Linked DNA regions of Drosophila melanogaster. Changing the gene in region 1 together with any one later gene gives a genetic interaction. Each region holds a gene or a part of one and is shown on either strand. Other genes may lie near its edges. The genes, in order: Ih and VGlut.

Region 1 (17,168 bases):
TATAATCCTTGTACATTTTTCAAATAGCAACAAAGCGGGCATGTTGACCCTATGCTGGTATGTCTCCGGCTTTTCAGACGTCTCAGACTTCCACGTTTATATCCGAAGCAGTAGCAACGATGTGCTTCACCAGTCGGACTATGCCTATAACAATCGTACTGCCCAAATCCCGGTGGAAGAGCTATCGACGCTGGGAGAAGAGAAACTTCGAGGCGCTGAGATATGTATAGTATCCCGGGATAGCGATGGAAATACGCGCAAGTGGTTCTCCGGGCAGTGCCAGCAGCTACCTTCGCTGAAGCGGCCCCGGACTTTCTTCTTCGGAAACTTTCAGGTCCGCGGTGGCGTTTCCCGGACCTCCAGCAGCCTACCTCGTTGCCTTTTGTATATAATACTCGTTTTGTTTGTTGCCAGATTGTAGTTAGCATGGGAAAACTGTGCACCAAGATTATTTTCTTAATAAGTAGATAACTATACTCGAAAATGATTGTAATACTGATTGTCTTCAAGTTACAAATTGTGCACTTTATGTATGTAAAAATCGTTTTAAGTTCGTATCGATGTGATAAAATGAATCTTGAAAAGAGATCAGATTGTCCTTGATCTTTGATCCCATTGTTGGCCGTTTGCTAGTGTGTGTCGCTGTGGCCATGGCTCACTGTAAGGACACGCTGTGCTCTGACCTTACAGCTGAACATGTGCGCGACGCCCTATTATCACAGCCGTGCGCACATGTATTTGTTTACTTGGACGCCGCCTCGCGTGGGCAGCGCAATTCAGAAAGCGTTGGAGCCCACAGCCAACCCAACGGGCCAGCTGATGGCTGATGGCCCAGGCTGGCTGACTTTCATTCAGGGCGAAAACACAAAGGCTGTAATCCGAAGTGCTCTTCGGCGCGGCGATTCATTCTCAACTCGGACTCGGCTCCTGTTTGTGCAGCGGGAGCGGACAAAAGGACTGCGAGCGAGTGAAAGGACTCGCCTGAGAGCCTGGCAAATGCGCACTCGCGCTCTCAACCGAAAAGGCATGCGAGTAGCACACTGGCGGTCGAAATTGTTTGCACAGCTACAGTATCGGCATGCTCCTAGAATTATGCTATTGTTTTTGTTATTTGGCTCTACAGTTTCCTGTTCTGAATATATTTAATTTATTACCAGGGGGGAAATATACATACGTTAGCAATGTTTTTAAAGCTTTATTATTTCTTAAATATATACAACACAAATTTAATGTAAAGGTACAGCAATTAAGATTGTTTTTAATTTTTGGATTTTATTACTGAGGTAATTTCTGATCAATACATGTGTGTATTACACCCTACCTTATTCGATAGCTTCCAGGAGATATTGAAGGAGCATCCAAAGGACCTATCAATTCGACCGAACCTCCACTGTGCCGCAGGACACGAGACACTAAGGACATGTGCACTTTCACTGCCGCGCGCCACCCACATGCTCTCGGTTTCACTTTGGCCGCAGAAGAATGTGCTTTTGTGCCGTTCGCCTTTGCCATCCTGGTCCTCCTGCCCCCGCCGCCTCCTCCTTAGGATTTTGGCAGGCGACTTTGCCTGTCCTTATCGATTTTCAGCGAATCTCGCGGGCTCGGCTCGGCCGTTTCTGCTTCTGTTTCTGTTACCACGGCGCACGTCAGTGGCATGCGAATCGGGAAGCCAAGTTTCACTTGTCGCGCTGAGTTCGTTCGTGTCGCAGCAGCAGCAGCAGTCGCAGCAGCAGTAGCAGTCGCAGCAGCAGCAGCGAGTGTGCCGTTATTCCGTTCGTTACATAAAGAAGAAATTTCAAATAGCAAGTTTAAGTGCGCTGCTCGGTGGCGAATGGCATAAATCAGCATTCAGCGAAAGCAGCATTGTGATAAACATTTAAACGAAAGGAGCCAGCGCGACCCAATAAAAAATAAATTAAAATAGCCAAGTGAAATCAAAACGAAATCAAGGAAAAGTAATGAAATAATGTGCATTTGGTGAGCCAGCGACTGTGTATCTGGTGTATAGAGCCCAACATATATGAAAATATGAAATATTAAATGTGCCGTAACACGGGCGTTGAAAAAATTACCAGGTAGTCGTGGGCTCGGGAAAAAAAGAGAAGTTCCAAAGGGGCGAGGACGAGGTGGAGCAAGCTATTGGAGGAGAAGGAGCAGTAGGAGGGAGGAGGAAAGATGGCGAAAGACGAAAGCGAACGAAATTGTAATAGAGGTCAAAAGAAGCATTGATTTAACGTGTGCACTTCCTCCCACTTTCAGCTCCACTCCTCTTGGCTTTCTCTTCGTCGGCTCCTCCTTGTTGTTCTCCCACCACCCACGCCACCACCACCACCACTACCAGTGCCACCCACCGTGTGTCCTGTGTGTCCTGTGCCGTTCTTCGTGCCACGACTGTGAACTGTGTCTGTGCGTGCCTCTCTCGCAATATTTGCGTGTGCGTGCCTCCTGTGTCTCTGTGTGTTATAAATAATTTGTTTAAAATTCGTCAAATCGCTTGACGTTTCATTCAATAAATTCCATCTACCAGGACACACGCTCACACACACTGGCACACGCACGCACACACGCACAGACGCAATGCCCCGTGTGGCGCCCGTGAATCGTGTATGTATGTGCGAAAAATGTTGATGACGAACCACTTACGTCTATCGCAACCCACGAATCCAACGAAACCACGACAAACACAGCCGCAGCAGCTGAAAAAATCGCATGTAACACACCAACACAACCGTACACCACACACACACAAACACGCCCATACATAGCCCTAGGACACACGTACCGTTCAATATCCAATAAGAAACCAAGCATAATTACATAATCAAATAGAACGACTGGCAAAAAAAATAAGGAAATATAAAAAGACAAGAGACAAACACGAATAAATAAATAAAAAAAAAAACACGAGCAACAAAAGCGGAAACCAGCGAAAACAAGGACACGAAAGCAAACACGATAAATCAGCGCAAAGTGCAGCATTATTTAATCAACGCCAGAGTCAGTCAGCAAGTGGAAAAACCCTGGAAACGCCTAAAAATAAAGGACACGCGATAACCAAAAATAGAACGTAATGATAAAACCAAAACCAAAGTACCTGCAACAATGAAATTGAGCAAATCTTAAAGGCGTAACCCAGACAAGCAAGCCCAAGATTAGAATTACTTTTAGAAATATACAAAAAGACACTCGCTATATACAAAAGTGCTATAGATAAACGATAAACGCTATCCGCAGTAAAAACAACGCAAAAAAGCAAATAAATTAAAGTAGTTCGTTGACGTTTGTTCACCGCTGGAAGTTATCGATACAGCCCAAGGATATAGAGCGTAATCCCCGTTGAGATAGTGTAATGGAACTAACCTCGTAGTTTGTAGAGAGACCTGCGTCTCAGCCTGTAGGACAGCAAATTCAAATAACCGCAACATAAACGCACTTATCGACTAACTAAAACTACCAAGTAGTTGCCTCTCTATATACAATATATATACCTATATATATATTTATACACCTACGAGATATATACAAGATACTTAGCCGTAGCGATTAGACGAAAAGCGCCAGTCTGTACATCTACCTATATGGATTTATTTTTATAATGCCGCTAATGCAAAACTGGATCCCCGCCCTCGACCTAGGCCTTTCAAATTGCATCTGAATAAGTAACGAGGGCGATATTAATGCATTAATTGGGTGACGAAGGACGTCGCCACACGGAGTCCCAAGGAGGGACTGTTGCCGGGTCCGGATCCTTTGCGTGTTGCTCGTGTCAGATACACAAATACGCCCAGAGCCGTAATCCGTGGACTCGCAGAGGAGGAGTGATACGAACGTACAGGACGAATTAAAGCTACCTGCTTTGGGTTTCTCGTGTTGCGCTGCCTTGACGTAACTCCGCCTTAACTCGCGTCGCTTCCATTTGCCACAAAAGTGAAAAAAAAACAGAAAATAAAGGGCGACCGCAAAGCCAAAACTGCGGTGCGTTCGTTAAACTTTCATGACCAAACATTAACTTAAGCAGGGAGGAGGAGGTGGAGGAGAGGCGTGGCCAGAAGCCAGGTTGGAAGGCCAGGCGGGATAGCATACATTTCGGAGCAAGGAAACTGAGCTGTCATCATCACTGTCCCATCCCCTCCAACAGCTAGTTTGTTATTTGTGATAAATTATTCAGTGATCCACATTTCGGATCCCGATCCTGCCCACCCCACTTCAGCTCCAGTTACCGTTACCGTTATCGTTATCGTTACAGTACCAGCTCCAGTTCCAGGCCCCACCATCACATCTGTACACCAGCAACCACCAACCGAATAGCAACAATAACTATACCCTAGTGGATAAACGTCATTTATAATCCAGAGTACAAAGTACGAAACTAAAACTCAAACAAAAGCTAAACTATAAATAGTAACATATGGTATTATTATACACGCAACTCAAACAGATAGTGTCATAGAGTCACATAACCTCAAAGAAACGAAAACGAGCGCATAACGAAACAAAACGAAAAGTGAAGAACCATAAGCAATATAAACAGTGCTGTTGACTATTTTAGAGGCCACCTTTTAGATACCGATACCTTCTCACCCAACCTACGTTACTCAACCAAACACCTATGAACCCACCAAAAACGAATCGAAAACCTAACCTAACCTAAAACCTAAAACCTTAAAACACGGATAACGGCGAACAGCCCCATGTGCGAGTGAGACAGCCCGAATAAAGAAGAAAGAGAGTAACACAACGAAAAGCAATTAATTTTTGTTTACGTGTCCGTGTGCGCTGGACTTGTATTAGTTAATGCCAAAAATCGAAGCGGAAGTTGCACCCATACCTGCACACCCAACTACCACTACAACTACAATACACATACACACATACTGAGCCACGATGACAAGGCCAAGAATTGCAGTGGGCATTGCGGGGCCTTTCCGGCGGCAATAGCAATAGCAACACCTTGAAAAAAAAAACTAAAAAAAAAGCAACAAAAAATAGCAGCAAAAATATCCCCGATAATAACAGCCACGTTACGTTAGCGAAGGTGGCGCGAGTGGTTCGATGTGGTTCGAATTCGAGTTCGAGTGCAGGTGGTGACGTGACAGCGGCGGCGTCGTGGGTCCAAGAAAATGCACGTTAAACACACTCAGCGCCGAGTCAGCGGTCCTGGAGCCTTCGGAACCTTTACCAACGATCAACGGTAGGCGTTACCCACTCACTAGCCATCCTTGTATGTCCTTGTACTGTTGTTGTGCACGATGTACGTTGTACTGGTGTGGGAGGTCGGTTCAGTGCAGGACGTCCGTTATCCCGCATTTCGGACTCCTCTGGCCGGGATCTCCCACGTTGTACAGTTTTGAGATGAATGTACTTAATGTTTCAGTTTCAATGTGATCTCTGGGGTGGACCGAGTTTATTATGATAGACCATTTTACGTATTCATATATTAAAATTGCATTTTTGTTTAGAATATCTTGGTTATAATTTAAATTATTCAGTATCATGCATTTCACGTTGGAAATTAAATTATTAATTAATTCTTTTTGGAAAGATTTAAAATAGAAATAAAGTTAAAGTGCCTTTAAGGCAAGGAAAATGTTTTAACAAGCGTATGGTATTTTTTTATGAAAAGGGTCAACGCTTCGTATGAGCAATTTATTGACACCATGGCGTATGTGTAATACATTCTGCCCACATGGCGTATGAGTGATTCATTTTGAAGTCACATAAAATGAATTAAATAACCCTAATAAAAATGTAATATCTAACATTGTAAGGTCTGTGGTCCACCCTAGCAATCCTGTTCCTTGTGTTGTTAGTTTTGTTTCGTTTCGTACCGTTATGTTCAGTGTCTCTGTTTCGTTCTTTGTCTCTTGAGTTACCCTGTTATTGTTGTTGATGTTGTTGCTGCTGCCGCAATTGCTGTTGTTATTGTTACTGTTCACATTCATACGTGTGTGTGTGAGCGTTGTGAACCAGTGTGTGTGTGCGTTTGAGCGAGTTGCCAAGTGCCTTTTTTGCTGGCCTCCTGTGAACTGATTTCCTGCTCACAACGACCAACACCGCCCGCCGCCCACTCTAAGGGGTCATCCGTCACTCCAGTCAATGCAATTACGAAACTAGATTAAAAGTCAAGCCAGGCCGACAACAATGGCCGAGCACCGATACCGATACCAATACCAACACAATACAATACAATGAATTGCATTGCTTGAGAATAGTGTCAAAGTACTTTGAGTGCGAACGCACGCAGTGCTGCATACTTTCAGAGGCCACTGTACATGTAATTGCATTCGTGTGGGTGTGGGCCAGTCTGTGTGATTGTGTATGTGTCTGAATGAGCGGAAGCTTTCGTTTTTACTTCAATGATTAAACCACTGACCGAATTTCGGCTGGCATTTGTTTGTGTGTGTTTGTATGTATCGATAAGCACTTGCCGACTACTGCATTGTTGTTGCCTCCCACACACATACATAGCTTATTCACCGATATATACACACACACAACCATGATAAAAGACAGAGACGGCGACAGTGAGTGAGCGAAGCAGAGGGCCAGATAAGCTGTTCTTTTCTTTTGTGCCAAAAAGGAAGCCCGATGTTTCCAATTGAGCTAGTTCTAGTTCCACATTTCCATACACTCGACAGCAACAAAAACACCAAATACCCATTCAAACATATAGGCACTACCCTTACACATACATAATCACATACAGATACACATACAAACACATACATATATGGGCAGGACCCTCTGGTGTCTGTGTGCTTTGTGCAGTTAATTTAATTTCTTATCCCCCAAACGAATCTCATTTAAGTTATTTCCCGCTCAGTTTGTTAGTTTTCAGTTTCGTTTCCTTCATTTCTCGTTTATCGTTTATTATTTCCATTTTGGTACTCGTCACGTGAATAACTTGGATTTATTTCGTGTCCTTGTCGTTGTTGTTTTGCAGAAAACTTTGCTTGAAAGTGCAAAAACGTTGAATACAGAAACTAAGAACCAACCAAAACCGAACCAAATCAAAAACCAGATCAAAATCACAAACCGAAACCGTTATCGAACAATTTGCAATTTACATTTGCATTTGGAGCGATCCTAGACATCAGCTGTGAAGGTACCGCCGACCAACTTCCGAATTCTCCCCATACTTTCTCTCTATATCTCTTTTTGTCTCTCAGTGTCTCTGCCTCTCTCTCTCTATATAGTATATATAGATCGTAGACTCTGTATGGTACTTCCCTACTACTCTACTACTACTAATACTAACTACTTACCGTTACAATTCCAACTGCAACACACATATAAGAACTCAAACACAGTCACACACACACACACACATTTAATGCTTCTAACTTTTCTGCTCGTTACTAGAAATTAGACGGAAAACTAAAAAAAAAGAAAACCCACCACCCCCGCAAGTTTCAACTTTTGAGCTTTACCATTTCTGGTTGCAAGCATAAAGTAAACTCATTAACTTTGATGCACTTTGCTAACTTACCTGTCCCTCAAAAGTCCATCGATAAGAGTTTCGAATGCATTGCTTTAATGACTTTTTCCCCACCTCGCCAACCCTGCCCTGCTTAAGATCTTTTGTAGTAGCCCCACACACTTCGCTTACCCTAGATGAATGACAATCCCGTTTGCCATGTATCTCACACAAGTCGAATCCAAAATTTATTTACAATTGGCATGCCAAATGGTTGTGATGTAGCATTTCTTTGTTTGTACACTCCACTGATTTACACAATTCGCTGCCCGCAAGCCTGATTTATTAATTGCTGGTCTGTCGTTATAATTAATGGATAATTTGGCTGAATTCTGGTTTAGCCGAAAATCGTGTTATTTATAGTTGAGCTGAGCTCTCCCATCGAGTTCTGTGTTCATTTGCCTGCCCAGCCGGAAATCTTTTGAACTCAAAATTTAATTACCGACCGAGAAGTGTATTTAAAATGGCATTTTCAAACAAACGACATTCGATGAACCATTCGTGAACTCAGTTCGTTATTGCAATGACCTTAACCAGGTCATCACTGAGAGTTTTCAGATATATTCTGATTATATTTAGGGTATATGTACGTTGATACACTTGAGAAATATGGTTTGGAAAACTTTAATAGGGATCGAATTGGTATGGGAATATAAACATATATTTCGGTAGTTGAAAGTTTCCATTCCCCCAGCATTATTATAACATAAAATTGTGTAAAATATATTATAGTCAACTTTTCTAAACAGGCATGTTCAAAGTTTTTATAAAGATCTTAAAATTGTGTAAAATAAATCGCCATTTCAGTTTCCGATTCTGATTCACTTTCCCCCATACGAATAGAAATCGTAGATATATGTATTTTTGATCAAATAAAATCCGCCTGACTGCATAGACTGTGTAAATTGGCACAATGGTAAACATTTGTGCACTAAAAATGGAAATTTTCGTAATTTGTTTACACGGAAATGTGTATCGAGTGGCATGTTTGGCAATTTGCTTTCAATTTTTGTTTGATTTTGCTGGCGGGCGCTTTCAGTTCATGAGCAATAAAATGCATAATATTGAAGGATTTCGGAAACATTCGCCCAGAATCAGAATTAAAATAGCTCAAGCGGTCACGCTAAATGTTCCAAAGGTCAAGACCATGAAAGAATTCCGCAATCGATCGGATTCAGGGAAATTAGAACACAGCATCTCCGCCGAGACAAGTAGATCAGTTGCAAATATAGTTGTGGATCCCCCATTTGGGAGCTCACAGCTGCACTTGATTTAATATCGATGAACGAAGTGGAATGCAGGCAGGCAGCCAGGCAGCGACTCAATTACGTACGCCTTACGAATTTACGCTTAATGCCTTCAATTGGCTTTCTGAATTATTAATTGAGGCATATTGTGTCTCAGCCGCGGGCGGCGGGGCATTGGTGGCGATTTCGATGCCAGAAACCTGCTCCACCAGACTCGTTTCGCCACCAATATCAAAATCCCAAGCTCTCGAGGATGGCCAGCACATGCTCTGCACTCAAAGACTAATCCGCTGGCCGGAGGGCCACTCCAATGCACCAAAGTTGACATTGGACGCAGGCCACGCCAGAAGGTTACACTGAGAGAAATAGAATAATACGTATGTGGAGATGCCTTAGATGCGGCATAGCAACAAAACATTTTACATTCAATTTTTTTCTTGGCATAGCAGAGGTCTCTATAAATATTTATAGCAATGATTATTAAATTTAGTAGGAGCTTAAGGTTAGGACTGAATATATACATTTACTTGTAATAAATAACTTAAGTGAGATTTCTCACTCATTGAGCCCAACTTAGCCGGTGGATTGGGGCAAGGGCCACATTTGACTGCAGCACTTGACAGGTGGCAAATACTCGAGGCCAAGATGAAAAAGCCATCAGACAGGAAGCCGAAGAGCTGGTATTCCCCGGGGCACTCGATGCTTTCGCTTTGATTTGGCTTTGCCATTGCCATTGCCTTCTCAAAAGTGACTTTCGGCCAGATTAGGTCCGAGATTGGCAAGAGGCCGCCACTCGGTGGCGGATGTGCGATTGTATCTGGGCATCTCGTTCGATAACTGCAAAGTGCACACTCATCGGCTGAGCATTAGCGTGCAAATATTTGACATATTTACTTGTATTTGCACAAATCCCATTCGAATTCGAATCAGAATTGGGATAATTGCGCCTCTGGCGTGAGGCAGCCAGCCTTTGCCTAATTGACCGAAATTGATTCGACTCGATTCCGGGGCTGGAAAATGCTATTTGCTCTGCACCAATTTCCCGCCCCATTTTTCGCGCTCAACTCTCGAGCTTGGCATCCGGCATCGGAATCGGAAAAGTTCGATGCACGCACACCGAGAATAGGGCATCCCCTCCTCCTTCCCCAACAAATGTTTACCTTTGTTTGAAAACGTGCCCCTCCCCCTGCCTGCCTGCGCCGGTGTTTAGCTATATCAACAATAGTTTGCCTCACGTTTCGTAGCATTGATTGCCCAAGGCACAGTGGGCTTGGCCGCACAGGTAGAGCTCATTTCCATATAAGTGGGCCACACTCGATACAGCTTCCCATGGAGCACCACTATGCACCACTGTGCGCCGCTGTGCTCCCACGCTCCCTTATCAGCCATGTCCGTCTGGCGCAGCCTTATCTTATCTCGGCCATTTGGCCATTTGATTTAGGGCACTTCCGCCGCCCACCGTGCGGAATGCTTTCAGCGCCATTGGGGCACGCGCTTCCAGCCATATATCTCCATCGAATCGGTGTGTTTCTGCATCTGTAATTGTATCCGTATCTGTATCTGTATCCCTATTTGTATCTCTATCTCTATCTGTAGTTGTTTGTTACCGCTTGTGTATCTGTGGCTCTATCAGTGCTTGGCCTGCGTGCCGCCATACATTAATTTAGTTGAATTTTTCGCGCGATCAGAAACCAGATGAGCATGTCAACCATTGTATATAGATGTCTCTATAAATTGTATCACACATCGCGGTCACATTGGGCACTCGATATAAGGGAAAGCATTCTGAACAAATAAGATGTCACATTTGAACAATTAAAGAACAAACATTGAAAAGGATGTTAAAAAAAACAGCTTATTTTAAATATTTTGTAAAATATGAAGAGCATCGAGATGCAAAGTAGACAATTAAAAATATAAAATCAATAATAAACTTTCGTCATTATTTACCTAATATCTTTCTGTAGTCGTTAGCTCAACTTAAGTCCATTTGACAGTAATGATGATCAGGTTGAGTCACACTTTATACAGCAAAAATCTTGAAGTCACGAGACCGCTGAAGTCAACAATAATTAGCGAATAACGTCCATACTATATCCTATCATTAATGCTCAGACTTTTAGTGGTTCAGTATATCCAGTGTCCTCTGTGCGGTGAACTCACATAGAAGCCGGGAATGCGATACAAACCTTCCCCCACCACTACCGCCCCTCACCGCTCACATGTTGCACAATCAATATTTATAATAATTAAGAATTTTCTTTGTTTGTCTCGCGGTTTTCCACACTCGCACACACTGTTTCCTGCTCACTTTAGCGTGGCCCTCTGGCCGACGAAACCTGCGTTTCGTCTCCCTCCAATGCTTGCCTGCCAATTTGAAATAGATAAATTTGAGTGTTTGCCAGCGACGCTGGCCATTTTTATTCTGCCATCGAACACGGTACTCATTGAAGTCTCCTCTTTCTTTCCGCCACCCCCCACTCCACATGCGGCTCCTTGGGCCGCCCGTGATGATTCCGCCAGCAGTGCCAGCCGCGACAACTTGTGCCCGGACAACCAGCAGCAGCAACAGCAGCGGCACTCGCACTCGCACCAGCACTTGGTGCGCCAGTCTCTGGTGAGTCTCAGCAACGGCCAGCCGGCGGCATCGGCGGCGCCGGACAGCGTCTCGCTGCTGCGAGCGGGCGATGACCAGCAGCAGCATCCACAGCAGCCACATCTGCAGCAACAGCAACAGCAGCAGCAGCACCTGCAACAGCAACAGCAACGGCACCGCAGCAGCAGCAGTCGACTATCGACAAGTGGCATATCCAAGCAGAACTCATCGGACAGCAGGAGCGGACTGCGCATCCTTGACAGCAGCCACAGTCCGGTGAGCTGTGGCACCCAGAGCGTGAGCAGCACTGGTGGCCAGTCGGCGCTCTACGATGCCTGTCACGAGTATTCACGCAGCTTGAGTGCAGCTGCCGCTGAAGGAGCCGCTTCGCTGCTCAAGAGCCACTACAGTGACCAGCAATTGGCGCAGACGGAGCCAGACCCAGAACCGGATCCGGAAAGGGATCGGGATCGGGATAGGGATAGGGATAGAGACCGAGAACGGGAGCGTCGCCACCTGACCAACCTCAATCTCAATCTAAGCAGCGAGTACGACTACAGCGGAAGTGATAAGCAGCAGCTGGTCAACGAGACGTACATCTTCAAGTGCATCGCCAACAGTCCATCGTTCCTGCGCACCAACAAGATCAAGGAGCAGTCCAAGAAGCTGCGGAATCTCTCCCTCAAGACACGCACCGCCAAGAAGAAGGGCCAGATTATCTCCAAGTCGAACGCGGTGTCGGATAACTCGTTGCATCCGGGCGACAAGTACCTGAACTTGTATCTGGTGGAGAAGAAGCACTCGCTGCAGCCGCAAGTGGCCTCCACGTCGAGTTCCATCAACACCACGCATCCGCAGGCTTCCTCGGCGCCAGCCAGTTCGTCCTCCACGTGCACCAAGGCGCCGCAGTTGCCCGCCTTGTCGGCGGTTGCTGCCCGCCAGCAGCAGTTGTTACTAAACGGATCGCTGAAGGGCAAGGGACAGAGTCAGAGTCAGGGGCAGAGCCGGCAGACGCTGCCCGGCCATCGGGCGTCGGTGAGGAGCGAGAGTGGAAGCGGGAGCAGCCACACCATTCCGGCGACGGGAAAGAGTCCGCCGGTGCCGCACTCGCTGGCGGCCAAGATCAGCAGCTCGGCAAGCGGCAGCAAGAACTGCAATTTGCTCAGCGCCAGCAGCAACTCATGCCACAAGCTGAACGCCCACGCCCAAGGATCGGGAGCAGGATCGGGATCTGGATCGGGATCAGGATCAGGACCACCCGGACACAGTCACTACGCGGCCGCCTCGCCCAAAAGTTCGGTCAGCAGCAACGGTCACCTGAACAAGTACTGCCTCACGGACCTCACGCGCCGCAAGGCCGAGTTCAATCGCCAGCTGAGCGCGCCCACGGACTACACGCACCACTCCTCCAGCAACGGATCGCAGCAGGAGGGCTCCTCGGAGGCCAACGAGGGCCACGAACCGGTCGGCGAGTCCACCATCACCGTAGCCAGTGCCGGCGTATCGTATCCGCATCCGTACTCCTATCCGTATCATTACGCGCACCACGCCTCCTCGGCCACAGCGCCGGCCAATCTCAAGGCGTCGCTGCAGCTGCACAGCTTCGGGAGCCACCATCCGTGTCCTTATCCGGCAAGGCCCACGTCCACGTCGTGCACCAACAGCTTCAACCGGCGCCACATTCGCCGGCACAAGGGCAAGCTCGGCGATCGGTGAGTACTGTACATGAGATTCTTCTGAATTTCTATTTATATTTACTACAATGTTAATATTCTACGTTTTTAATATGGCATAATAACATTGTGTTTGGTCCTATAGTTTCGTTCCATATGTTTTAGATACCATCTCTTAGCTTATCTCTCAGATACTTCAGTGGAATTAGTCATAACAATAACAGTGCACATTTAATTGAAGTATTTAATATTGCCAAAGGCCAAGGCCATTCGCTTAGTCAAATATTTTGTTGTATAATCGTGAAATGCAAAAACACTGTGATGTATAATCAATATCATTTTACCAATTACCTCCTAGTGGAAAAAGTTCTTTCAATGGAATCACAGTGTACTTTAAAAAGAGAAACAACAAAACTTTTGTAAAAAACTGAAAGAAAAGGGGATTCCAGAGACCACGACGACTTGTTTCTCAGTTCGGCGGATTCCCCCGAAAAGAGAGCGCGAAACTCAAGACATTACCCCGGCTTACAAGTGGAAATTACGCGCATTCAAAGCGCCTGATCGCCTACTACTACCGGTTTTTTTGAGTGCCTTGGTCTCCGCTCCGCTTATCGCCGGGCATTTGCATAATTCCGTCGTCGCAGACCGAGGGAATCTCACTCCGCCGACCTGCCTTTCGCCTCGGAACGCGCAATAAACTTCTAATGCCCGTCGAGCAGTGAACTCCACATTTTGAGCGGATCGAAAGTTGGAGCGTCAGCTCGGAAATACCAATAATCCCAAGGGTTCTGTTCTACACAGTCTACAGTCGGTGTGTGCCTAGTGCTAAAGTTAAAAAAAAGTAATATTAAACTTTTTACGTTCGGAAAGAACATATGTATGAACGCGTTCTAAAATGAATTTACGTGCTTTGGTTGTTAAACCAAAAACCGCACTCTATAAACCAAATAGAAGTTTACAAATATTTAGATATTTTTCCAAAACCTTGAGCATTTTTATTAATAAGGAGTCCACTGGATTACCCAAACAAACGTTTGTCATTGTGCGTGATTTCGTATAAGTAATTGAATCGAGCTCGATTATCAGCCTGATTGCGAGTAAACAATGTTTGTCAAGTAAACAATGTTTCAATCGGTCCGTGTGAATAACATAAGTGCACAATTTGTCGCCTCCACTCAAGATCACAAATTGCGAACGAGACCCAAACCGACAATATATAGCTTCCTCCTTTCCTGACCACTGATATCCAATCTAATCTTCGCGTGAATCGAACGCGTTAACCGCATAAATTTGCATAAAATCCAGACATATGTATGTATATTTGCCCATCACTGTTTATGTTTATGTTCCATGTGCTGTTCGCTCACTTTTCGGATAGTTTTGCTGTACTGTATCGTACTGTATTTTACTGTATGGTCTTTTGCTTTTATTGGCATCAATTTTTGTGAAGACAGCCCGGTCCAGGGAATTACAAGCAGCCATAATTTGCGTCGTCGATCGTCGCGAAATCAATTAAAAGGCAGCACAAATTCGTTATTTATTTATTGTGCAACGGCAGCGGGGTTCAGAACAGGTTATCAAGTCGCCGCAGCATCAGCATCACCCATCAGCAGCAGTAGCTTAATAAAAGTCTGGCAAATAGCAAATTAACTAGTTGCCATAATAGCGAAGAAAAAAGACAGGAAAAGATAGAAAACATTGAGATACAAAGAAACGGAAAAAAAAACCCGGCGACAAGTGCACGGTGTCAATATCTCAATTATTTAATTAGGCAATTGCCAGCCAATTTCGGAAGCGAACTGCAATTCCTGTACCAATTGATATTCGAGGTAAGAATATCGCTCAACCAACCAGTCAGTACGGAAAGTAAAAATAAAGAATAGTAAGCAAACCCCCCATTCCATCTTTCGCTGCTCGAGGACGCACGAGATCCCCCATCCGATCTGATCCAATAGAATACGATGCGATACGATACCATACGATACGAAGCATTCCATTCCGAACTGGCCACGATCTGGTCTCGTTTTTCGGAGTGTTTGCCGGCGATTTCGATTTCCAGGCGGTTTGCGAGCGGCAACTCGGCCGGCGGTCGCTAGTCGCAAAAAGTTTGCCGCTGTAATCACTCCAAGTGCCGGGTTCTACTCTATATACATACGTAGCTATATAGCACGCTTCCAGACTTCTACGATTCTCCGTTTCTCGGCAGCCGCACTTTGTGAGTCGTTTGTGTAATCTGCATCAAAACGGCGGAAAAACATCTGCTTCAGCACGTTTTTCCAAGTTGCTAGGGAAACAAACCCAATAGTTTCGAATGCAAAACATCAAACAAAAATCAACGAAAATTCCAAGTGCGCCAGTGAAGTGCGATGAATTCGAAACCACAATTATGAAATGTAGATTGTAGCAAAGTGATTTGATTTCATTTGATTTGTGTAATGCAATAGTCGACGGCGGTTAACAATAGCAATCACTAATAAATTCATTAGGCTAATGCCAAGATTAAATTAAATCAGCTTCAACAGGCTTAATTAAAACGAAACTTTCCAATTTCAAAGTACACTCAATTGAGTGTGAAGAGGCGAAAAGAGAGCGCTGTTTATAATAATAATAGAAGCACAGACACAATTACGAAAAAAGTATTATCAATGTACGAAAATATCAGTACGTCTAACCGTGACGCGAAAACCCATACCCATATACCCATATACCCATGCCCATGCCCATGCTCGTATCCAAACTGAAACTGAAACTGAATTGGAAACCAACGTAACCGCGAGCACGCGTCTCCATCTCTCCGGGCTTTAACAATGGGGGTCCGCCGTGAACGTGAATAATATCCATATCCATATCCGTGCCACGCGATTTGTCGTTCAGTGTTTTTTTTTTGCCTTTAGTTGGTGCCTTCAGTGTTTGCTGCTCCAAAAAAAAAAAAAAAACGCGAATACGAAAAACTTAAGAAGGGGCTGGGGAAACCAGATTCCAGTTTCACTGGCTGCCGCCCCGGAAAACCTTGACAATCACCATCTAGTTTTGTGGGCAAGGTGAGGGCAGCTGCCCCGTATCTCTGATTCAGCCTGCATTGTGCGTGTGCCGCAATTAAAAGTAAACAAAAGTGTCAAGAAAAACTAGCTAGTTTCCAAATTCGAATTTCGCAATACCCTTTCAACATGTGCAAAAACCTTATGTAGTGTATAGTATCGAGTTTAAGTTGTAAAAGATTCCAAATTTACTCGAATCATAAATGAAACTATTATCTACCTACGATAAATTGAATTCATTGAAATTGTGACCAAATGAAATACTAATTATTGCAATATCATTGCTAACAATTACATATGATTTACGTTTTTACTTTAAACTTAACAAGATTGTAAACATAATGGCCTACTTTGTGTCAATTCATTTGAAAATAGCCCACACATATTGTTACTTAACATGCCTCCGTAAACTGTAATACCCTTCGTAAGAAAAAAAAAAAAAACGGTGCGTTTACCGACATCGCGCCATCCCGCCCACCTTGACAGAAACTACATTATTCGATGTAGTTTCACTTTCATTTTGGGCACAACAGCCTTGTGGCATTGAGTCGTGTGTAACGTTTTTTTTTTTCGATGGCAACACTTCCGTGTTTACTGATCCCGTTCTTGCCAATGCCATTTCAGACTGCTGAGCGGGGATAGTGAGGAATCGGTGCGCTGCTCCTATTGCTCGGTGCTGAATGTGAACGACAACGACCTGCGCATTTCGTTCGAGAACACCTGCACCGATTCGCTGGTAACCGCTTTCGATGATGAAGCCCTGCTAATATGCGACCAAGGAACCGAAATGGCAAGGACAAAGGTTTTATTTATACAACTAGACCAGGACAGACAGACACTAACCCCCCACCGAGCAAAACCCACATTATCATTTGACCTTGACTGCCAGCCAGGCAATTGGTTTGGAACAGCGCACGACTAATGACTCTCCACTCTGATCCTTCGATGCAGGTACACTTTGATGACGTGTCGTTGTACGGCACTCCGAAAGAGGAGCCCATGCCCAACATACCGATCGTGTCGGAAAAAGTCTCTGCGAATTTCCTAAAAAGTCAATTGCAATCATGGTTCCAGCCGACGGACAACCGACTGGCCATGAAACTGTTTGGCAGCCGAAAGGCGCTGGTCAAGGAGCGC
Region 2 (17,168 bases), on another chromosome or scaffold:
ATGACCTTCATTATGGTATTCATATGGTAATCTCATGCAAGGACTTTATATCATAACTTCTGGTAACGAAATTCAAGTGTTATTGGTGAAGACTGGTACATTTATTCTGTCTTTAAATGAATAGGGGCGTTAACTCTCCTTTATTCGGTTATGTTTTTAAATATTCGTTTTGGTTTCTTTAATGAGCATACACTGAAATATATAAGTTTTATTCAAATTTGGTTTAGCTACCATACAAATTATACAACATGGGCGGGTGTTGCCAGAAAAGGGATCTCCGATTGCGTTTAATATTCATAATTTTGATTCAATACTTTATATCGTGTATACAGAACTCTTAGTGAACACAAAGAATATGTTGTTACTAATTATATACACGGCTTAAGTATAGCGGTAAATATCATTCTACATCTTTTAAATATTCTGAAGATTTTGTGGAGGCAATTCCGCTGCCTCTTTGTCATTTGATTAATGAATATAGTAATGATTTATTTTAATAGCATATATCTGGTATTGTGCGCCTATATTTCTGTACGAAAGTTTATGCATATCCTTCACACTTTCAATTCATCTCCATGCACAACTTTGATGTATTGTAGTTAAAATACCCTAGATGCGACCTGTTCTTCTGTGACTGGTTATAGCCAAAACTGATGGTTTAACACTATTAAAGTTGCGCTCGTTTAGGTTTTAGTTATGCTTTTCGGTTCGACTTGGCTTTATGTACACTTAAATTACTCACAAAAGCATTTAATGATGGCATTCAACTACGAGATACGCTTTATTTACAAACTGTTATGTCAAGTGATTTTCATTACTCTTTTTTTTATATCTTAGCAAGCAAAAGTTTAACCGTGGCTTTCTGGTTAACATATTTATGTTATTATTGTCCACACAGCCCCGAGAGCTTAAGTATCTCTCAAAAACTAAAAAAGGGAAATCAAATCGAAATCTCTATTGTTATAGTCTCCAGATTAAAAGAGCCATACTCAATTGAAGAATCGGTTTTATATACAGAATGGATGTTACACTAACCTAATATTACACATACGCCCCAGTGGCCAACATTTTTAATTGCCTGCGCGAGCATTTGTTTAAAAATTTGAGCCTAAAATCGAAACATAATGGTAAGTAAGTAAAAATGATAGGTCAATGGAAATGTTTTAACTATTAACTAGGCTTACTTCACTAGGTATTGTCGCTTACACAAGCAGTATTGTTGTCTTCAATTGGAACTGTGATCCAAGAACATTTAAAATTTTAATATATAATAGCTATTAAGTAAGTGGCTATACGAGTATCTGTGTGATTATTTATTCGCTGCGCTGTACAAATTACGGTATTAGAATTGACTCTTTTAGTTAGAAAATGTTCACGTTTTTAATACATAGTGATTTAAATGTGAATAATTTAAATTACCTTTATATATAGCTATTTATAATACTTGTGGCTAGCTTAATACGATCGGGTAATATACAGACGACTAGAAATAATTTGTGTAATTTTGCATATTTAATGGTACAGTGAGAAAGTAAGTGCGTCTAAATATGTATGTGCGGCAGTAATTGAAAACCTCAACTAAACACTAATTAAATTTTAACAACTTTAAATTAACAAGTGGTGCTTTGAACTAATGAACAACGAAATAATTAACAGTGCATTTTGTAAGTTAAATTTGTGCTTTGAAATCAAAGTTGTGCATAATAACGTTAACGAAAAAGTTTAAATTACGGTAACAAATTTATTTACAATCTACTAGATATTTCGAAATTGGTTAAATTTATTACTTTAGAGAGATTTAATACTTCTTATACAGTAATCACTTTACTTGTACCTAGGCTTACAAAATTATCAATGTTTATAAGAAAAAGTAAATAAAAATCGAAGTTTGCTTCAAAATGAACTGATTGCGTCGTTAGTATAAAATAATTCATAGAATAGTATTTAGAAGAAACCTAATCCTCTGAAAACATTTATTTTAAGTATTCCTTTAGCTTAATATTATTTAAATGTAGTGAGCATATGAAGACCAAGTCTGAGGTTATATGCGCCTACGGCTATCTACTTAAGTATTATTTTTAGTACCTACATCATGCCTTGCTCATGTTAGTTAAACACAAAAGCATACGGTGCATTAATATCAATGAATTAAATAATATCAACAAACATAAACAGTAATTAGTTAACAGAGTATTCATATGACTTTTGATTAGCTAGTTCTTTTTATGGTTATCATTCGTGCCGAACATCAACAATTGCTTGGGTTTGATTAAAATGTTCTCTTTACACAGAAGATAATATCATCAACGGTAATAAAACTTGCAGTTCGCAGTTCAACAACAATCTTTGGCTATATATGTATATACGATTATACCGATATAAATATAATTATCATAGGCTTTGTGTGGATTATGTGATTTATGATATACACAAGTGTTGAGTATATATTTCCAGTTCTTTCCCTATCTTGTGTTGCAGTTTCGATTTCGGAGCTTGTAAATAGAAATTCGCGTAAGCGAGACCCTAATAGTATATACTATATATGCTTTATAGATCGATTAGGCCAGTTTGGGTCTATGTGGGCTAATGGTATTGGTAGTGGTTATCGGTATTGCTGTGTATGCATATGTAGTTTCTCTGTTAGGTACATAGTTTCATTGTGTTAGTGTGGCATGTGGAATCCCCTTATTCGCTGACAAATTCGTTACTCTTTAGTTATATATTTATATACTTCTGAAAGGTCCACGGATCCCTCCATCGATGGAACTCAACAAATAGAGAGAAAAAGGGGGGAAAACTTTAACGGCACACCGAGAACAAACAATAAACGTCAAACGATTTCCGACTACAACTAAAAGCTATGATATATATCAGTGACCTATGGCGAACCCATTACTGCTGCTGGTATCCCTGCGGATCGTAGGACGGCATTTGTCCTTGCGTGTAGCCATACTGCCCAGGATTGGTAACATCCCCGTAGGTCGGTGGGGCATCCTCCTCCGCAATGGGCGGAGCACCACTGGCCATGGCGAAGGGATTGTTGGCCACGTGTCCTGTGGCGCCGTAGCTAATGGCAGTCGACTGCTGCATTTGGCTCTGCTCAGTGTACTCGGGGGCACCCTATTCACAAAAAAAAACACACAAACACGCTTTGTAGGTAGTGGCTCGATTGATAGAAATATTAATATATAATTCGTAATAACTTTAAAACTTACGAATGAGGTTTCCTTCATGTAGTCGCCCAACATGCCCGCCTGGCTAGGATCCGTGTTGGTAATGGCACCTGGTGGTGGAGCCCACACCTTTTGCTCCTCGGCCGGAGGTTCCGCCCACGGCTGCAGCTCTCCAGATGCGAAAATACCATAGAAAGTGCAGCCAACCAAATGAACACAGGCGGCCAGGGTGAAGACTGTAGTCCAACACCCGGTAGGCTACAATACCAAATGAATACCTTAGCTACAGAAACTACCTTACACTAAAAAACCCCAACTTACATTAGCTTGGATGAGGCCATCAAGGGCATAGGGCACAATGATGCCGGCCAGAGTACCAATTCCATTCGAAAGACCCATCAATATACTAGCATAACGAGGAGCAATATCCAGGTGATTGACATTATAACCGGATATGGCAAAGCCACTGAAGGCCACGCCGCAGGTCAAGGCAAACATGGCACCCGTCTGGAAAAAACAACTTATAGTATTGAGTATAAAGGAATTTGTTTATAACTTACCGCCGTTGAGGAATGTGCCACGAATAGGAAAAACAGACCCTCCATGCCAAAGCCGCCGCAATTGAAGAGCTTGCGCACATTGGTGGTGGACAGGATACCATTCTTTCGCAGGTGATCCGCCAACATGCCGCCAAATGGAACTATCGTAGTCATGATCAAGTGGGGCAGCGAGCCCACGAAGCCCGCCTCCTCCACCTTAAAACCGAACTTGTGCTTGAGGAACGAGGACTGGAACAGCACCAGGAGGTAGAAGTTCCAGGAGCGGCAGAAGTTGGCCACAATGATGGCGTAGACCGGCATCGAGCGCATCATTTCCCGCCACGGAGTCGTCTTCAGGGATGGCATCGTGGGATGAGCCGACTCCCCGAGCGATTTCTCGATGTACTTCAACTCGGGTATGCTGATGGCCGGATGTTTGCGCGGGTTCTCGAAGCACAACCATATCCAGAACATGTACCATATGATTCCGAACACCCCGTAGGCGTAGAACGGCGCCTGGTAGCCCACGGCATCGGCCAGAAGTCCGGAGAGCGGAAGTCCAACCACCACGCCCGCATAGGAACCGGAAAAGGCCAGCGTCGCCAGTCGGGAGCGCTCCATGGGCGGCGCCCAGAAACGCCAGATACCATGGCAAGCTGGATAGGTAACGCCCTAAAAGAGATTATGTTTAAATAAATGGATTATTTAAATAAGTCAATTAGGATATTGTCCTATATTCCAATGCACTTAGTCTCATGCAGTTATAGTATCTTAAGAAAATGTGCTTTGTGAAATTAAAAATATATATCTAAAATATAGTTACTTCCGAACTCGAATAGACAAACATCCTTTTTACAAAGTATCATTCTCTCCCTTCCGATTCGAAGAAAAATGACATACTTCCCAGTCCTTGGCACAAAGAAATCGCATTAAAATAAATGCTTTTGTTATTTTTTCCTGCCCTCCCAGGACCCCCATCCCTTTGAGGGCTTAGGACATGTTTCCATTTCACATATTTGCTTTATCATAAAGCAAAATCTAACCCTCCCCATTTTCGCAACATCACGCAGCCGTAATCCCCGGCTTTGATCTGTGGCAAAATCGAATTGGGCAAGTTGTTAGGTTGGTTGGGCTACATACCTCGAAGAGTCCTTGCAGGACCCTCACGCAAATCACCACATGACCGTGCATCAGGGTCATGGCGAATGGCACGAAGAGATGCAGCGTGGCGGAGCTCACGATGGACAGTCCGAATATCTTGTTGGCCGGGAACTTGGAGGCGATGAAGCCGCCGGGAATCTGCGTCACCAGATAGCCCCAGAAGAAGGACGAGTCCACATGGCTCTCCACGGCGACCGTCCAGTTCATGAACACAGTCTGCAAAAATCCGGAAACACATTTTACGGGATGAGTGACAGAAGCTCAGCAATCATTAAAAACTGCTCCAGGCATTTATTAACGAGCGTCAAGCAGGATTCAGAATTTCAAATTGGTTTCTATGATGGGTCTGTGTGGGTGCGTGTCCTTTTGTGTATGTATGACTTTTGAGCCACATCCACCCACACCCACACACACACTCCCTAATTGACAGCAGCTTCTCGTCAAATGAAGCGAATTTTATGAATAACTCACTCCTCTCTCGAATTTATGAATGCTCATTCGCTGCCGAAAATTTAATCAATTTAATATGCAAGTAATTTAAGGAACAACTTTAAAATCGACTCTTCATCCGTGTAGAGCTTAAAGAACTTAAGCTGAATATAAAGCGAGTTCTTGGTGTTGAGCGGATTGTAAGTAGATTATTACACTGTGAGTACTCACCCCATTGTGCTCCCCTTTGAGCTTGGCCGCCGACATATTGCACCTCATGCCGAAGGCGATCATGAATCCCACGCAGGCCATGGTGGCGATGGTGTAGCGGGCCGGCATGCAAGGACACTCCGCCTTGCAGTACTTGTCGATCTTGCGGAGCGGCGGGCGCTCGATCTCCTCGAAGGAGGCGGGCGAGTCGGGCCGGTCGTCATCGTCGTCGTAGGCGTGGCCGCCGCCTGGTCCGCGGCCCTCCCGGTCGCCCCCCTCCATTTCCTCGTAGCCACCGTGGCCACCATGATAGCTCTGCGATATCTCAAACTTCTCCATATTGGGCTTCAGGCTGTGGAAGAAAAACAAAAAAGATTTTTATTATTCATTCAGTTAAATCAATCCTGTCGTGTAGTGTCTTCCAAACATTTTCTCCTGGGGCATAATTCATGCCAATTAGAGCGGATAGCTGGCCAAATCAACAGGTCAACGAGAGGGCGTGAAAACACAAATATTTTCGGCTTGTTAGCAGCAACAGCTACCACCCCCTTCCGATTTCACCCACCGGAGGTGGTTGATGTTTTCCCAAGGGTCCCAGTGGAATTGCGGTGACTGAGGGGAGGAATCGCTGGCAGAACTTTCGTCCTGGGAGTTGAATAAAATTCAATTTTATTAAGTGCCGATAGCTGGGCTACGGGTATTTAAAGTTGATTGGAGCAGGTAGGAATTCGCAATCGCATTTCCCGATTTGATTTCCCAGTTTAAACACAGTTAAAAGACCTTGTCACCGACCAGATTGATGGATGTGTGTTAGCTGATATCTGCTGATAACTGGGGTGACCTGGCCACCTAACCACCCCGAGCAAGCCATTAACCCAAGATAAGTGACACATCAACTGAGATATGGCCCCTCTCACTCTCCACGGATTTGGAATTTTTCTTCATAAATATCCAGACAAAGTCCCCATAAGTACGCAATACAAACTAATAAGCAGCCACCAGCCAAAAACAAGCCACTACAGTGGATATAACTTTGCCGTCGTCGTCGAAGTCGCCGCCTGTCACATAACTCAACTGTCTGCCGCCAAAGCTACCCTCGTCTGGTCACGCAGGACCTCCTGAATAAGAGCGAAAAAAAGGAGCTGAGGGAACGACTTGCGTCCTTCGAGCAACTTGCGCCTTGACCGACTTTAAGGCTGACGCCAATTTGATGCCCTTCGCAAAAAGGGACTGCGTTATGCCCATCATTAGGTCTGTTATAGGACAAAAGAGGATTCGATTACCATTTTGAGGTAATATATTAAGATCTTGGCATTGAAAAATCAGTCACATAAATATGAATGATAACAGGGTTTTAAAGGTTTTTAAATAGAAATAGCTAGTTACTTTTCAATGATTGACTATTTATTTTTTTTTTTTTATATATTCATTTTAGAACATATCAGCGTCGCATTTTTTAGACACCAAATTTTTTGAAGATGAGCCAAACTATCCTTGGCGCTCAAGTTCCGCATTGATTGTCAGTAAAAATGTTGCAGACTTTTTGTCGCCGCCCAGATTAAGGATAACTGGCGCCACAAGCAGAAGGCTTTTGTACAATTCGCCTTTGACTTTAACGTGGCCACAAAACGCGACCATTAGAGATGTAAATGGGGCACATTCTCAGATATATATGTATATGTAGAGCTGTATGGAGTGTATTAGTTTGTTTGCCCTGACAACTGTGATGAAGATGCTCTGGCACTGAGGGGGAGTGGGAGAATGGGGGCTTGTCAGCGACACGACCGCGTCTTCAATGGCAATTCTAATTTCATTTTCACTAGCAAGGATAAAGGAACTCCTTGAGCACTCCCCCAACGAGGCATTTCAATTTCTTCGCGCCGAGTGCCACTCGAGCGCTTCAGCGCCAGGTCCTGTTGGCAATGGATACGGATACGGAAACGGAAACGGCTCGCAGCTCGTAAAAATCAATTTCATTTGCCTTAAGCGCTGCAGCAGCCTTCGTCGGTATGCAACAAATTCCGTAATGAAAGCGATGTGCCACCTATTGTTCCAATTTCTAATTTAGCACTCAAGGTCCTTGAGAAATCAGACGAGGTGTGCCCATCAAATTGCATACCACGACCACACACATTCATCGAGTGTTTGCCCAATATGTCCCAGTGGCACGACTTTATTGCGTTTCGTCCGCAATCGAAGGTGCCGGAGTTGAAGTTCCCGGACACGTGCTGCCAACGTGCCCGGAATTCCTGACGCACCGGTGAGCTCGTCCGCATGCCACTGCGTTCGTTGTCACCAGTGAAAAGTGCCAAGTCCCAAGTCCTTAGAATCCCTATAAACCCCCTCTAATGACTTGTTAAGCATGCCAATAATTTTACAACTTTCCGGGGGGGGCGCGACACGTGCCGAAGTTTCGCGACGCCGGCTAGTCGCCAGTGCGTATCAATATCGGTACATATTTACTGCATTATCCTGGCATGGTCAAGTTCAGCCAACCACGAGCACCGACCATCCTTGCGTTAAATTAAACTCTCTCCCTTTTGTTCTCCGCAGGTCCATTTGATTGCAATCATATTTCATTTCGGGCATATTGCCACCCATCATCGCTGTACACTTGCCAACAAAATGAGGATATATTTTAAATATACATATAGATCTGCTTTCTATGCTTAAATATATCCTCTTGCTGGTAAAAAAAAAAAACCTTTATAAATCTGAATATTCTTTAAGACCCAAACCCTGCTGTCTGGTGTTACTAGAGTATATCATATCACATCGACTCACCCGCCAAACACGCCCGTTGCCTTCTCCTTAAACGCCGTCAGACCCTTCATCTTGCTGCTCAGCTAGTAGTCCTGATTTTCCCAGACGCCTGTCCTCACTCCGCCCCTGCCTCCGGATCAACGAGTCCTGCTCCTGCTGCTGTCCTTTCGCCCAAGTCAGCGTCTGTTGTGCTTCGTTGCCTTTGCGCCGTTATCACTTGGGCGCATAAATATATTTTGTTGCCTACTTCACGGCGGATTGCCGTGTATATAAGCGTAGCGAATCGGCGGCGGTTAATTTCCGTGAAGCCAGCACAAATTTGATGACTCTATTTTCGGGTTGGCTCGTTCTCTCAGCGGGGGATTTTCACTTGGTCGCCATATGATTTCGATTCTCGTGGAGTTTGTGCATTTTCATTTACAGTGCCTGCAAAAGAGATTTGTATGCGGCTATTAATGGGTCCGGCAATTTGTGTTCTGCTGCTGATAAGCAAAAGTCTCGTACAATTTCATCATTTTGCACATTTCTTGTAAGCCGCTTATGTTCATAAATTCACGAGAATTTCGAAATGATTGTGATGAGGGGTAACTACTGAGCCGGCAGAGCATTTTGTAAATATTTCTGGCATTGTGAGCGGTTTTGATAGCGTTTTATGCTTCATTTGGTGTGAGCATGAAATTTGACACCTCTTTTGATTTGGGTAATCTCTTTCGAAAGAGTTAGCAATGTTACGATTATTGGAATTATTAGAATTACAATTTATAATAAGAAAACAAATTCAATGGAAATAATCATAGGTTTTAAGTTTGTGCATTTTTTATACTAGCTTATTTCTTGTTAGATCAGGAATTTCGAAACTAAATGTAAAGTATATATGTACGCATTCTTTGGCGTTTTTCACAAAATTCTTTAGATGATTCCATTGGAAGCTCCTCCCCCAAAACAGTTGTACTTTTGACCTTTGGCCACAACGCCTACTTACATGCCACACCAGAGTTACGTAATCCATTTCGTAGTTGGTGCAAGATTATATAATCGGCCTCTAGTCGTAACTTAAGCACAGATATTTTTGGTGATTAACTTGGCTTAAATTATGTTTTAGTAGACAACGAAAATCGTTTAATTTATTTTGTTGTTGTTGGTTAGGATATCACAAATAAGGTACACAGATAACAGATTATATAGCTTGATTATTCACTACGCGATACGCTGCAAATGGGATAAAAAGGGATATGGAATTAGGTGATTTAATATAATTAGAAGAATTTTTTAAAACAATATATATCTTCTTGGTAATGTGTTAAAATATATCGTTATAGATGTTTTGTATTTATTTATATAAAGTCTCACATTTTCTAAGCAACACTCGCCCGCAAAAATAGAAATGAAACTAAAGTGAAAAACTTAAAACTTTGGATAAACCAATTAAGAACTCAGTATGTGGGACGACAACATCCAGACAGAGTTTGACCACGAGACCGGCGGCAGGTTGTCTATGGAACCGACGACGACGACGAGGACGATGGTGATCCGAATCCAACTCTGTCTGAAGACTGTGTGACGTCCAACTCAAAATCAGCCGCGTTGTGGACCTCCAGCCAAAGATCGGCGGAGGACAGGTGGCAGCGGAAGATGGATACATAAGCTGCCATCGCGGCCTGGAATGTATCACATACAGGGGTATATGTACGGAGGGACTAGTGATGAAGCGAATGTGGGATGGGGTGTTAAAGGGGTGGGAGGAGCGTAGTATATACACTGGAAATTTTCAACCACTGGAATGTGCGAGATTTTCTTTTCAAGGGTATTACGAGGCGTTGCCAGAAAAACGTAGATTTCTCAACTTCTAGCCGGAGGGCAGCACTTTTTCGAAACACTTGCTATATTAGCACGATTATTCGGATATTTTGAACTATATTTTCTGATTTATTGGTATATTTTAGATGTATTTTCCCAGCTATATACCCGCAGCTCCAGGCTCGCTTTTTGGCCTCAGCAGGACAACGCACGAAGTGAAACTAAAAGCGCCCGCATTCGCCTTTCTTGTCTGCCCAGATGGATGTCCTGCCAGAGGATTATGCTCCTCCGCAGCATAATCAACGCATCCGTCCCGTTCGCACCCGCTGTGGTGAAAAGCTCGCGACGCAGGCGACAGCTGCGCAGGCTCGAGAATCCTTCGAGAGTCCTTCGTCCTTCGGCATTGGTTGACGGCGAATGGCAACTGTAGCAGTTGAGACTGGGGACAGCTGTGGGGGAATGGCACGCCACCTGGCCAAAAAGAACCAATCAGAGGTCCTGGTACATGGGAATGTCTTTCTCTGGGTTGGCATGCGAATCTCAGTCGTGCGTGAAATGCTATTAACATGTTGCCAGGCCATTTTCCATTGTTTTCCTCCTGGCACACAGACGTCCTGCGTCCTTCTGCCGCCTTTTTATAGAATGTCAGCCATTTTGAATATTTTCCCCTGTCTGCATGGGGGCTCAAAATAGCTCCAAACTTGGTGAATTTTTGGAAAATGCTACGATTTATGGATGAGCGTTTCAATATGAATCGTGAAGTCTGACCGGCTACAAATAAATAAGTCCTTTGCTCTTGGCTTTGATCGATTCGAATCGGACGTGATGCTTTTTAAATTCTCACGTTTGGGAGCTTGAAATCTATCTAATGGATTATCATTAATTACTGGGCGGTCTAACGGTAAAAAAACATTTGATTCATTTTATTAGAATACTCTAATGGATTTTTCGATCCTAAATTGATCTTATTTAAAACCAAAGCTAGTTGTCTTTTATTAGCCCCAAGAAGCAGAATGATTCGTTTATTATTATTCGTTATTATATTCAAGGAAAGAGAAAAGAATCTCCAGTTCCAAACAACACATATACTTATTAGGCTCAACTCAACTTGAATATTCTCAATGGCCACTTTAAGTAGCTAATAATCCTGGTCAACAGTGTGAGCAACTGCCTCGATTCTCATCAACCACATCGATTCACGGGACAGAAAAAATCCATGCCCCATAGAAATCCCCGCTTCCGTTCGGCGTCCCATTCCAGGATCCCCTCCAGATGTCCTGGCCACGTTGCGAATACGACGCGTTGGCCTAACCCTCATAAGCATAAAGCAAACAGCCAACAAACAGTTGCAACTCAGCCAAAAGCTATAATAAAGTTGCGGAAGTAAACAGCAAAGCGAAATAAACAAGAAGCGGGACGAGGAAACAGCCGAGCTGGGAAATGAAAGGAAAGTCAACAGAACGGCAGCGGGATTTTCGCATTCGAAAGGGATACAGATACATTTGCAGATACAGATACTACGTCTACGGCATGAGCCAGACTTCGGGGCAGACAGATTTCCACAGACAAGACGGCGGCACAATAAAAGCATCTGCGATATTAAATTTCGAAAAATGCCCAATCCGTGCGGCGTTTTACTATTTAAACAAAGCGATTAAGGGTGCGTGGCTAGCGGCTAAAAGCGCCATTCACATTGATTGACGTAAATGAAGAATAATCGAATTGCGAATTGTGCTCATAAAACTCTAAACTAAGTGGCGACGTTGTCGGCCGGATCGAGTGTCAGTCAGTGCCCATCGTGCACAGTGGAAAAAACCGAACATTCAAATTGGTTACAAGCTCAATCTACAAAAGTGCTAGTCAAATATATATATTTTTTAAATTACAATAAGTTCTATATGCATATGAGATTTGCAAGCTATATTCATCTATAATTTCGACAAATTTATAATATTCCTCACTCAAAATGATTCTTTAACACCCACTGTGCTCAAATCGGTAACCTTAGCTGTTGGCCCGCTCTCATAAATTGTCAGCAGAAAAGTGTCAAACTTGAGTTGACAGTCCCCCGGACGGAGTTTCGTCCTGGAATCGGGCGAGGACTTCCGCTGGCCTCCCAGTTCCCATCGCACGTCAGCGGTAATTAGTGCAGCTTCGGCAGAAAGTCGTCTTCAATTTCATTGCGCCAGCGTAATCATCATTATCCTGTTGGGCCTGTTGTGTCCTTATCCACGCGGCGGTCTCCCGTCGTCCTTGCCGCTTGCACTAATTACAAAATAACTTTTGCAGCTTTGTCATCTCTGTGTACTTTTTTCGGGAGATTCCCCACGGTGCGTATGATGTATGGCTTTTCGTTGTCTGATTTATGAGTGAATTACGGGAATGGGCGTCGGTGGATTACTTTCGGTGAAAGGGTTTCACGCGGTTTTAATTACCAGCCGAAACTGTGACGACTTTAAAAGCTCTCGAATTTCAGCTTGAAATCGTCAAAAGTATGCGAGTGGTTTTCCCACCGAGGCGGGAAATTGATGAGCTTCTGTGGATTCAGCAGACTCATGCTGTCAATCCACATGTCCACCCACTCAATCATCAAACTAAACGCTGTGCTCGTCGATAAGCGTGGCACATAGTAAGCGGAGTAACATTTCGAATCCTTGGGACTGGGGGAATCACGCAGGTCGGGGGTTAAGGGTGTGTCGCTGCCCAAAAACGATTTCTGAGATTTAATATTTATTTTTGTTTGTGTGCAAATAGCTGGAAGCGTCTGAGATATGATGGAAACTGCGAGGGGCGAACTATGAAACGGGGGATTTTGAGATGTCTGTTCGGTGGGAGATTTATCTTACAGCTTCTGTATTTTTTGGATTTATAGACACATGAAACTATCATATATTTCCATAGTTTCCTACTACTACCCCACTTGGAGGAATCGCCTTACCCATCCTAATTAGCATATGCCTCCATTTAGGACTCAACTCTTTGTCCGTCGTACAACAACAACGAAATCCATTAGGGTCATAGAAAGTATATTGCATTTATTCATTCGGAATACATTTTTCTCTTCGCTTGCCGAACAACAATAAGAGCAGAATACAAAAGGCGAAAAGCGTCAGTCAGTGCAACTTTATTTCAAGCTACAATGCGCAGGCAACCCACCTACTAAAACACAAAACCTCATATTTATTACACTAAACAAAAATACTGCAGCAGTATGCAGAGAAAGTCCCATGTTGTTTCCATAAATAGAAACTACATATTTAATTTCTCATTTGAAAAAAGACATTGTAAGTATTTTCCCAATGCTATGTGATATTTTTTGTCGAGTGTAGAAGTCCTGGTGACAGGCGGCGGTATACCGGAAGCAAATGCTTTTGTCGCCCGGCGTGTGCCGCTTTCTGTTGTTGCGTTCGTTTTTTGAGTTTTACCCTCAAAATGCATGAGTTTGCTCATAAATGCTAGCCTGAATCTTTAGAATGCCTTGATTAATGTTGGCGCACGTTGGCTTTTACCCCGTCCACGGCGCAGGATAAGGGTGACCGAGAGCGGGCAATAAAAATGTTGTCACACATCATTTAGCAAGAACGGGCAGTCCGTGCTTTTCCGTGGCCTTAAATCGGTTTTAATACATTTATTATGAATTCTCAAACATTTCAATTCGCCGTTGGACACCTGATACCCCCTTTCCAGCTGCCCGCCCGAAGAAGATTCGTTGCCATTGCCTGCCAGGCATCATAATGAATCTAATCACTTACGCTCGAGTGCATCAATTATGCTGCCATCAAGGATCAGGGCAGGACGACGAGTGGGAGGATGGGCACGACGGGCTGACAAAATGACTCCAGGATGGAGTGACAGGCATGGTGGACGCGGAGCCAGCAGAACAGAAGCGACGACGTGCCCATTGTTAGCTGTGAAAATTTGTTTGCTACGTCATCGCAACAACAAGCCCCTCAAGTTGATAACTTTATGATGCTGTAAAGAGACATATATATACATCTAAATATCTATGCACCCCAAAAAGTCGAGAAGATTAGAGGGTGGTAGTATTAAAAAAGTTTTGAAATGGAATTAGAGGGAATAGTGGGACGACTAACAAGAGCAATCTATATGATATAAGTTTTACATAAAATTGAAGCTTCGGTTCGTCATTTTGATATATCTCCAAAGTAGTAGCATCTACCATAAAGAATTGAAAGTAATGATAAGAAAAGAAATATTATCCTTGTAAAGGATTTTGTCGAACTTAAAAATTTATTATACATTTTAAAGTATTTATCTTTTAGGTCAACTAGAAGTTAAAGTTGCTTTCCCCCCTGGTCATCTGTGTAAAGAAGCCACAAAATGTGTTTGTCATCATTAGAAAAATATTACATTTCCTCTGTCCAAGAGCAGATTGCCTTGGCAAAAAGGACACGGATGGCAATGGCGCAGGACTTTAATTGCTGCGAATGCGAATACTTAAAAGTTGTTGCCTTTTATGCGGTTGCCGTCAAAGCGAAACTCAATTAAGCTGCAGTCACCACCCCATGAAACATGGCCCACCCCGAATCAACATCAACCCATGGTTTTCCCTGATTTAAAACTGCTGATACGGCAGTTGAGGACGTTGGGGGACTAGGACATCAATAGGAAGCTTTGTCATGGTTGCCCTGCCAGCCAGCCACCGAATGCCTTTTCAAAGGCATTTTTAATTGAAATTATCCGATGCTACCTTTTCGGCTTCTCCCGCAAAATTTCCATTCGAGTTTTGCGTTTTTCTGCTTTGTTACCTTGCAGTTGGGTTGATTGACATGTGAGTCGTCGTCCTGCTCCTTGGAAACTTTTCTCGGCCTCAGCTTGTTTACATCTTAGAGCGCTAATAGCGGCAGACTTAAGTCTGCGAGCGATACGCCATAAATCCATGTTAATAACGCCATTGTCAGAGGGGATGCAATCCGTGTCTCAATTCGAAGGCACACAGCTGCACTGAAAACAATTAGTGACCAAATGAAATGCTCCATGAATGGAGCACCTTTAAGGTTCAAAGGATACTTGCTTCATGACACATTTTCGAAATATTTCCGAAAATACTTACCTTTTTCATTTCAAAGTGTAAGATTCTGTAGTGGCCGAACGGGGGAGATTTTCAACTCAAAAGACATTTAAGTAGATTAAGCGACTTTCATGTTGTGTCTTCAGTCTTTGGGACATCAAGCCAAATGAACGACGACAGTGAAACAATTCTCGAGGCACGCCCGTTGGCAAAGGACTTGAGCACGGCGAACGGCAGGATATAAAGCCCGGCAATATGCCCAGCCAGTTGCCACTCGAAATATATGCAAATATAGTCCTTGAGCGCGGGCGTGGCAAAGGGGGCGTTGCAGCGGCAGCAGCTTCAGCAGCAAACAATGAAAGTAAATGCCAAAACATTTTATTGATTATCAGGCGAAAGGGAAGCTTAGACAGTGGATAAAGGTTACATGATATTGGAATGAAAACATTAAATGTTAAATTTTATAAATCTCATTCAAATGTTCACGTTAATCGATGTCTATCTAAGGCGAAGAACCTAAGAGTTATTTAAAATATGAATAATATATATTTTGTTATAAACTACAATAGTTGAAATTCCACTGTGCTTGGTCCTTCAGCTGCCATTAGACGGCGCCGGCGAGTGTGCTACACTTTTTTGCAGTTGTCTGACGACAATGCGAACTGGAGTCCTGACGTCCTGGAGTCCGTGACTGAACACCGGAGTGGGGACCTGGACTTGGGTATGGGTAAGAGCATTGAGCATTTTAATAACCGCAGTGGAGAGGCGGGAAACCCGAATAGTAGTGCGGGAAACGATGGGCGGCCATAAATTATGCCACCCACCGACTGCAAAAAGGCGAAAACATTGACAGTCGTCCTTCGTGGGCCGCCCGTTGAGCGATTTGTAGTACATCTCCCCCCTTCCCGCGACTGCGCTTTTTGGCGTGGTGAGGCCCAAAGGACCTCCCCTGGCTTTTCGATGCGTTGGCAATTTTAAACTCGATCGTTAGAGATAGCAATGAGGAATAGAAGGTTGAACGAGGCTGCGAAGTGGTCAGTGCGGCGTCATAATGCAATTGTATAATTTTCTTAAAAGCTCACTGTCGTCGACGATGAGTGTAACAATAATACGCAACTGGAGTGCACTTAGTACCGAAAGTAGCGAACCATTTAGAGATCACAAAGGGCATTACAGAAATTAAAAATGCCCCCCAAATGGGCAATGAACCACCGAAAACACACAACTACCCACACATTTGGTCAACGAAAACAATCAGGCAAATGGTGTGAAACTGGGCATTTAGCTAATTGAAATGAGCGGGCAAATAAAATGCTTGCCAAAAAGTAAATAGAAGTAAAAGTGCAAATCCTTGGCTGCCGCGTGGAGTCACGTTTCACTTGGGGCTTAGCCCACAGCTTCTGGCCTTCCTTTGGCAGGACCACCTGTGGCTTTCGCCCGCCAGGATCACGTCCCAGGTGCGAAATGAAGATTTATAAAATGGCAAATTGATTTAGCGCGCCAAGTGTTTCCTAATACCGCCAGCTTGATGAAATTTTAATTTTCTCCCCCAGGGAGCATAAAAGGTTTCTCTCGCTCATGTGGCTCGATTTCACCCCCGAGACTTTGGTAATTGAGGGTTAAACTAGCACAAGTTGTGGCTCATCAACAGGTAATTTCTGTGCGAGATTTTTATGACCACTTGCCGCTTGTTAGTTCGAATATAAATAATGCATGAGGCAACTTTAATGTAACAAGCTCAACTCAATTTCGCCCCACAAAAAGCGTAATTTGAATACTTGGCCGCATCACGTTTTCCGACTTTTCTTTTATTCCCCGTATTGGCAATCGCGATACGCATTTTTATTATTCTTTTTTTCCTATCCCGCTCTCTATTGGTAATACAATACGTTCAATTCTGCTTTTGGCTTTTCTTGAGCAAACACAGCGCGGAAAAAATTCAATTAAATGTAATCGCATCTATTTCTTCTGCGACCGTGACTGATTGTTCTAAGGGAGAAAGGCGCGGAAAGAATTGAAATTAAAATTGAATAAATAGCCAAATAAACACGCTCTTTGAAAGTA

Evidence for each region.
Region 2: of Ih (region 1) and VGlut, changing one suppresses a phenotype caused by changing the other (phenotypic suppression), as found in Drosophila melanogaster (one study listed by BioGRID).

The regions. Positions count from the first base shown.
Region 1 is NT_033778.4:14,274,452-14,291,619, forward strand, and holds the start of Ih (I[[h]] channel), read left to right. Parts: upstream 1-1,678; 5' UTR 1,679-2,075; exon of another isoform or gene 2,076-2,829; 5' UTR 2,830-5,120; coding exon 5,121-5,191; intron 5,192-6,943; exon of another isoform or gene 6,944-7,105; intron 7,106-11,250; coding exon 11,251-13,032; intron 13,033-13,685; exon of another isoform or gene 13,686-13,804; intron 13,805-14,742; exon of another isoform or gene 14,743-14,822; intron 14,823-15,087; exon of another isoform or gene 15,088-15,208; intron 15,209-16,655; coding exon 16,656-16,821; intron 16,822-16,838; exon of another isoform or gene 16,839-16,982; coding exon 16,983-17,168. Other genes in the region: conv (convoluted), read left to right, coding at 28-421.
Region 2 is NT_033779.5:2,393,423-2,410,590, reverse strand, and holds the start of VGlut (vesicular glutamate transporter), read right to left. Parts: upstream 10,297-17,168; 5' UTR 10,241-10,296; intron 9,841-10,240; exon of another isoform or gene 9,626-9,840; intron 9,485-9,625; 5' UTR 9,258-9,484; intron 8,702-9,257; 5' UTR 8,347-8,701; coding exon 8,297-8,346; intron 5,865-8,296; coding exon 5,534-5,864; intron 5,090-5,533; coding exon 4,853-5,089; intron 4,385-4,852; coding exon 3,734-4,384; intron 3,681-3,733; coding exon 3,495-3,680; intron 3,432-3,494; coding exon 3,216-3,431; intron 3,121-3,215; coding exon 2,893-3,120; 3' UTR 1-2,892.